Linked DNA regions of Canis lupus familiaris. The protein of the gene in region 1 interacts with the protein of each later gene in a pairwise test. Links are inferred from orthologs where the notes say so. Each region holds a gene or a part of one and is shown in the gene's direction. Other genes may lie near its edges.

Region 1 (3,632 bases):
TAACCTAGAAGTGTAGTGAATAGTCTTTGAAAGAATAGCTACCCCATAAATGTATGGTAAGCCAGTTGGTGTTGGCATGTTATACGGGTTATGTCACTTAGTTTTCACAGCAGTTTCCAGTACCTGTTCATGATTTTCACTTTATAGATGAAATCTTGGACTCAGAAAAGATACTTTATTCCCAAATCAAATACATAGCCAATAAGTAGAAGAGTTGGGGTTCACTTACAAGTCTTTCCGGATCCAAAGTCTCTGCCCTTTACCCTCACTAGAAACAGTTCTTATGCACAGTCCTCACCTCATCCCCAAATCAAACCAGTCTTCACTTTTCAGACTCCATATACATTGGCCCAGAAAAAAGTACTTGTGAAGAGATACAATATGAAGGGATGCTCAAAGGAAAGTTGAAATTGAGAGGAGTAATAAAACAATTCACCTGCATCATTAGATTTCTTTTTATTCTTTATTTAATGTGCTTATGTCAGAAACTACCTCCAGAATTTAGTTTAGAAACATTCTTTTGGAAATTGCCATTCTATCACTTGTGAATTCTATAGCTTGGTTTTAATATCCATTCTTATTTGTTTCCTCCTGATTGATCAGGATGCCATTTGTTTCTGTTTTCCATTTTCTGAGTCTTTCGAAGTATCGTATGATTTCTCTGATCCAGATTCTGTGCTCTGAGTTCACAACCAAGAAATCATTTTTACAAGAGAAATAAAGCCATATGAATTATGAGATCAGCATTGAATGAGTGCATATACTTAAATGTTTTTAAGTGTAGTTTGCCAGCACCAGCCTGACACAAGTTGGGGAGGGTGGATTTAAATTAAGCTGGACAATTTAGATTGAATGTTGTTAGGAAAATAAATTTTTTTAGGTACTCGGGAGAATTTTCATAGAAGACATGCAATCTCAGGAACTATTGTTGACAAAGAGGAATTCTGAGTCTATAAGAAAGGGAAAGGGAAAGCTCTATCCTGAAGAGTGCTCAGAGATGGCATCTCACTTCTCTGGAAGATCCAAAAGCGAGGCCAGAGAATAGTGGAGAATGAGGGAAGCGAAGAAGGATATGGAAGTTGAGGGTTCCTATCTATTGAGTTCAGTGTAGTTGGTTATCACCAAGGCCTCTGAGGGAGAGATGCCCTGATCAAAACAACATTTAGAGAAAATGCAGGTGTCAGTGTTGTGGCGCATTTGGAAGAGGGTGCTCACTGAGCTGGAACTCTGGCATCTGGTGAGAAGATGCCTGCAATAGTTAAAATGAAAGTGAACCAGTGCTAGCACCAGAGTGGAGGCTGTAGGAATGAAAAGAAAACGATAAATTTAGAAGTGGTTACTGAGTCTGGGACTAGAGGATTTTGAGACAATGGCCATAAGAATTGACAATAATAGGAATAAATAGCTTTGTCATTATGTTGAGTTGACATCAAGTTGTTGATTTTATGGAAAATTTTCAATATACCTCTTCCAGAATTGGACAGACGGAAGACTGTTTTCAGATCTTTGAAGTTTCTCAGTAGCCCAGCATTCAAATCTTAGTTCATAGTGTTCCACTCTGTTTCATAATGTTTGAGAACTGAGAGAATTGAAAAAATAAAATAAGCATTGTTTGTTGTCCTAAGGGTGTAAGGTGATAGAGACTTTCATTATAGAAAACTCTAAAAGATAGAATGTGACATTAGCTACATACCAATTTATTTTGATCTCCATTTTGCATATAATACATAATTAACTTATACAACTTTCTTTGTACTCCTAAGAAATGCCATAGTACTCTGGCTTCCAGTTTGTGGCTTCCTAGATTATACACATATAATGGATTTCAAAGGGCCAGTTTATGTAAGCCTTCTTTATTTTAAATCATAATCTTTGTTCCTATTAGAACAAAATAATGAGCTGCAGATGGGTTCCTTTTAAGAGGGTTTTTGAAGGAAAATATACATAATCTGGTTGATTACATTTTATACATAGGGAACTGAGACTGGTAAGGTGTAGGATAGGGCTTCAGAAACTCATTTTTCCTTTTTTTTTTGCCCTAGGCAAGAAAAATCTCGTTGGGAAGTCCTCCAACAAGAGCAACGGCTAATGGAAGAGAAAAATAAACGTAAGAAAGCTCTTTTGGCTAAAGCTATTGCAGAAAGGTGAGGCACCCGAATTAAGAGTGGTTGTTTGTAACCTGCAATCAGTTCTGTCATGTTTTATATGTGTTTGCCCTTGTTTTTTGATAAATTGACATTTTCTCTACAACATTCCTTTTTAAAATTTTTTTTGTAAAGTAGGTTCCATGCCCAGTGTAGGGCTTGAACTCAACCCTAAGATCAAGAGTCACCTACTCTACTGACTCAGCCAGCCAGGCACCCCTCTACGGCATTATTTCTAAGGCTAACTAAACAAATTATGTTTTACAAATGATACTAAAATTCCAGTGTTGATTTATTAAGGAGGACTTTGTAAGCATAGATTGTACCGAATTTGTGAATACAGGTGCAATTAAAACTTCAGAATCAGCATCAGTGTTTTCAGTTTTAATCATCTACACATTCTATTTTTTTTTTTAAGATTTTATTTATTTATTCATGAGAGACACAGAATGAGAGAGAGGCAGAGACTCAGGCAGAGGGAGAAGCAGGCTCCACGCAGGGGGCCCGATGTGGGACTGGATCCTGGGACTCCAGGATCATGCCCTGGGCCGAAAGCAGGCACTAAATTGCTGAGCCACCCAGGGATCCCCTCATCTACACATTCTAATAAGGAAGCAATGACCAGTATAAGGGCACTAGCAACAAACACAGGTTTTAATTTTGACAAGGGAGGGCTTGACTGTGTGACAGGTTAGAAGAGTAAGATTGTTTATTCTACATAAGTGACTTCCACTCCCAGAAATCTTTTTTTTTTTTTTTTAATTTTTATTTATTTATGATAGTCATACAGAGAGAGAGAGAGAGAGAGGCAGAGACATAGGCAGAGGGAGAAGCAGGCTCCATGCACTGGGAGCCCGACGTGGGATTTGATCCCGGGTCTCCAGGATCGTGCCCTGGGCCAAAGGCAGGCGCCAAACCGCTGCGCCACCCAGGGATCCCTCACTCCCAGAAATCTTGATTGTATTTTCTGTGGACATTTTTCCTGAATGATTTACCTGCCCCCGCTGATACATGATGTAACCTTTTATCAGTGACTCAAGGTCACCATCATGAGCACTCTGCCATACTATGTGCGCTTCAATTTTTCTGTCACCTTCCAATGTCAGTTTGTTAGCAGTTGCTTTTCCTTTACTACATTGTGCTGGCTTCCAACAGTAGCATTGATATTTGAGCCACTTGCCAACCCTCACCCACTCTTTCTGCCTCTTTAGTTTGTAGTTTACCATGTGCTATGGCCTTAGGAAACCAAGCTCAGTCGCTGAAGCACTGATTGAGAATAAGGAGAATGAAATGCAAGCAAGCATTCTTGGCATTTTCTTTTCAGATCTCCAGAAAAGCCTGGAAAAACTATTGGTTATTGAAGCTTGTGTATGTGTCAGGGGAGGGCAAGGGACAGGGCTAGAGAGACAGACAGGTAGGTATGAGTAATTCAGAATTTCATCTGTCAAGGATATACGTATTCACAAATGGCAATTTTTTTTTTCTCCA
Region 2 (4,249 bases), on another chromosome or scaffold:
AAATTCCATATTTACAAGACAGTCCTCACTGTCTTCCTATAGAAGCTGCACGGGAAAATCTCTAGTGGTTATTTCTATTCTGCTCTGAGCAGCCAGCACCCTGTCCAACCCTCCCTCTGTGTGACCATCCGTCACAGGGGCTTGGATAAGGAAAGGGAGACCAGGAGTCTGTGCCAAGTGGCTGTTCTGTCACGTGACTTGCAGGGACTGTTTATTCCGATTTATTAGACGAGGGAGCCAAGGCTTTCAGAGGATAAGGTGAGAGGAGCCAGTGAGAGGAGCTGAGCAGGAGTTTGTTTAAGATTTTACTTATTTATTTATTTGAGAGTGAGAGAGAAAGCACGAGTGGGGTGAGAAGCAGAGGGAGAAGCAGACTCCCTGCTGAGCAGGGATCCCAATGTGGCACTCAATCCCAGGACTCTGGGATCATGACCTGAGCCAGGGGCAGACGCTTAACCGACTGAGCCACTAGGCAAGGAATTTGAACCCATCTCTCCTGACTTTGACATCCTTGCTCTTGAATCTGTTCTGGAGGGCCTCCCAACTAACATTTCATAATCAGTTCTAGGATCTCACCCATGCCCTGTAGGGTGTGGCTGCAGGACCATCCCCAACCCTGGGTCCCCTGAGATCCCCCCCTGAAGGGGGGGGTCTTTGCCTGCCCAGTGTCCAGGCATTTGAGCTGCTAACACCATTTTGCCACAGGATATGCCTGCCTGCACAGGCAGTGTGGGGCCTGGAAAAGATGCTGGCCTTGTAAACCAGACAGCCAGGTCTGCTGCGCCCAGGAGAGCAGGGGCCCCTCCTGGCCCTCTGGCATCTTCTGGACTTTCTGGGCCGTTCCCCCTCCACTTTTCTCTTTTCCAGAGTTACTGCTTCTTCCCTCCCTGCCACAGGGTTTCTGGACCTCCCCTAGGCCTTTGCTTCACTCTGCCATCCCTTGGCCCTGCTTCTCAGGGCCTCTGTCTCTTTGGGCTTCTTCCCTGATCAGTCATTCCACCAATACCGATGCCTCACTGGATCCCGGAGCCGCCCACTGGCTGGTGGGAGAGAACATCTGGCTTGGGGACAGTCGTCCTCCCCAGTTCTCTGTCTACCCCACTTCTCACTTCACCCCTTCGCGTCCGCCTATGACTTCCTCTTCCATCTGTCTCTGTATCTCTGCTCCCTCCACGCCTCGGTTTCTCCATCCCCTGTCCCTTCTCGAGTTCTCATCCCCATGGTAGTGAGGGGAGGTGGACTCTACCACACCTATATTTTAGATACAAGGACATAGAGGCTCAGAGATTTGGGGTGGCCCGCTAGAGCTACGCACCTGGTAACCGGCGGCACCTGGCCGGCAAGGCCCCGCCGCGCCGCCTGCAGTTGGTCAACGCGCCGCCCGCCCCGCCCCCGCCCGGCCCCGCCCCCGCCCCGCCCTCGCCCCGCCCCCGGCTCGGCGGCCTGAGGACCCGGAGCACAGGCGCCCCAGCCTGCGGCGGCGGCGGAGACAATGTGGTTCTTTGCCCGGGACCCGGTCCGGGACTTCCCGTTCGAGCTCAGCCCGGACCCCCCAGAGGGCGGCCCGCCGGGGCCCTGGGTCCTGCACCGCGGCCGCAAGAAGGTGAGCACCGCCCCGCTCTGCAGGCCGTGGCCGACCTCGGCCTCGCCTAGTCAGCGCCGCCGGCCCCGCCGCGTCGCGCCCCGCCTGACGTGGCTGCGGAGCCTCCGGGGCAACGGGCCGCGGGAGGCGGACGGTCAGTGACGACGTGGCGGGCGGAGGACCGAGGGACGGCAGGCGGACGGAACCGGGGTCACGTGGCGCGACTCAGGCCCCGAGGGCTGACCTGGGGAGAGACTGGCGGCGGCCCTTTCCCCCCGCGCTTGGCAGCTCTGGGCACCATCTCGGAGCTGGCGTGGTCGCCTGGGCCCGGCCCACATCCCTCAGGTTCCTCTGCCCTCCTCCCTCAGGCCACAGGCAGCCCGGTGTCCATCTTCGTGTATGACGTGAAGCCCGGGGCCGATGAGCAGACCCAGGTGGCCAAGGCTGCCTTCAAGCGCCTCAAAACTCTCCGGCACCCCAACATTCTGGCCTACATCGATGGGCTGGAGGTACCCGCCCAGGGCGCTGCCCCGTCTTTGCCCCCTCGCTTTCTTCCAGTCTCCCTGTCATGCCTTCCCGCTTCCACCCTCCTGCCTCAGCACCCGCAAATTTGATCCCCTTCTCCACCTGTCTCCCCATGCCCCTCATCTTCCCTTCCTCTTACACCATGTCTCCTTTTTCAGACGGACAAATGCCTCCATGTAGTGACAGAGGCAGTGACCCCACTGGGAATGTACCTCAAGGAGCGAGCGGAGGCTGGTGGCTTGAAGGAGCTGGAGCTCTCCTGGGGCCTACACCAGATTGTGGTGAGGTGGGGGGCAGTGGTGATGAGAGCAGGGTGGGGGACTTCAGTTGCTGGAGTGTGATGGCTCCTTCTGCCCCCAGAAAGCCCTCAGCTTCCTGGTAAATGACTGCAGCCTCATCCACAACAACATCTGCATGGCTGCCGTGTTCGTGGACCGTGCCGGCGAGTGGAAGCTGGGGGGTCTGGACTACATGTATTCGGCCCAGGGCAATGGTGGGGGACCCCCCCGGAAGGGGGTCCCCGAACTTGAGCAGTATGACCCCCCGGAGTTGGCTGATGGCAGTGGCAGAGCAGTTAGAGAGAAATGGTGGGTGACTGGGGGCAGCATGCCCCAGCCCACCCTATTCTGGAAGCTCCTGTAGTCTCAGGACCCCTCAACTAGTTGGCACTCCCCTGTCCCCTGCTGCCCAGCTGGGGAGGGAACCAGGGTCCTCCAAGAGGTAGGGCAGGATAAACACAGGCTTTGGGTGTGTTTTGGTGGTTCTGAGTTTGAAAGATGTGTGATGTGGGGTGGATGTCCTTCCTTCTCTGAGCTTCACTTTCTTTATCTGTCAAATGGGACTAATGAACCCTGCTTCTCAGGGCCGATGAGAGGATCAGCTGAGGGACGTAGTTCAGGGTTTGCCATATAGTTAGTGTCTGGTGCCTGAGGCAGGTTGGAGGCCTGTACTAGCAGGTGGCAGGGCCTGGAGCAGCTCTGATCCCTGCCTCAGGTCAGCTGACATGTGGCGCTTGGGCTGCCTCATCTGGGAAGTCTTCAATGGGCCCCTACCTCGGGCGGCTGCCCTGCGCAACCCTGGGAAGGTGAGTGTCTGACCCAACCCCAGCCCCTTTCTGCCAGCCAACCAGCCCTGCCCTGCCACTGACCCTTCTCCCACAGATCCCCAAATCGCTGGTGCCCCATTACTGTGAACTAGTTGGAGCCAACCCCAAGGTGCGTCCCAACCCAGCCCGCTTCCTGCAGAACTGCCGGGCACCCGGCGGCTTCATGAACAACCGCTTTGTGGAGACCAACCTCTTTTTGGAAGAGATTCAGGTGAGCCCTCCAGCCGATCCTGGGCTTTGGTCCTGGGTTCTTCACTCCATCCTCCCTACCCACTTTGTGGGCTCCCCCATGACTAGACCCTGGGAGGCAACCATGGATTATGGAGCCAGGCTTTCTGGGTCTAGACCCTGGTTCTGACTCTTACTGTGTGACTTGTCTGACACTTGTTACTAATAATCGTACCTACTACTTCAGAGGAGCTCGGTGAAGATTCAGTGAGTCTGAAGTGCACAGCATAGTGTTTGGCACATAGTAGGTACTTAGGGACTCCCCTGGCACTCCAGTAACCACTTGTGCATAGTGGCCCTGGCTCTGATATATGCTGTGCCCAGTGCTGCGATGTGCTGTGGCAGGGGGTGGTGGGGTGGGGATGGAGTCAGACCCAGATCCCTGCCCTCAAGGATCAAGCAGGGAGTAAATGGGCCAGGTACCCCCTCTCGGGGATTCTAGCTGGTGGAGAGGGACAGAAAATACATAAATAAGGGAATTTGAACTCCCCAGGACAGGGGTAAGTACCAGGAAGGAAAATAGTGGGTCAGGGCGCCCAGGGAAGGGCTCTCTCAGGGCTGACATTTGAGCTGAGACCTGAAGAGTGGGAAGGTGGGAGCCATAGGGATGATAACTGGGAATGAATATTCCAGGCAGGGGGAATAGCACATGGAAAGATGTGAGGAAGGAATCTTTGGCTTAATCTCCTTAGACTTCAGTTTCCCGGTCTGTATAATGGGGATAATAGTAGTCTCTGCTGGCCGGTAGGTGGTTGTAGGGAATGAAGGAGGAAGGCTCAGCCCCAGATACCCGTTCTGACCTGGCCATG

The links. The genes of interacting proteins can lie anywhere in the genome.
Region 2: the proteins of GORAB (region 1) and SCYL1 interact in a two-hybrid assay, tested with the Homo sapiens proteins (2 studies listed by BioGRID and IntAct). The link is inferred for Canis lupus familiaris from reciprocal best matches to the Homo sapiens genes GORAB and SCYL1.

Annotation. Positions count from the first base shown.
Region 1 is NC_049228.1:28,153,527-28,157,158, reverse strand, and holds part of GORAB (RAB6-interacting golgin), read left to right. Parts: intron 1-2,042; coding exon 2,043-2,144; intron 2,145-3,632.
Region 2 is NC_049239.1:52,179,434-52,183,682, reverse strand, and holds the start of SCYL1 (N-terminal kinase-like protein), read left to right. Parts: upstream 1-1,426; 5' UTR 1,427-1,492; coding exon 1,493-1,603; intron 1,604-1,950; coding exon 1,951-2,091; intron 2,092-2,265; coding exon 2,266-2,388; intron 2,389-2,467; coding exon 2,468-2,694; intron 2,695-3,100; coding exon 3,101-3,191; intron 3,192-3,267; coding exon 3,268-3,423; intron 3,424-4,249. UniProt on the Homo sapiens protein: Regulates COPI-mediated retrograde protein traffic at the interface between the Golgi apparatus and the endoplasmic reticulum. Involved in the maintenance of the Golgi apparatus morphology.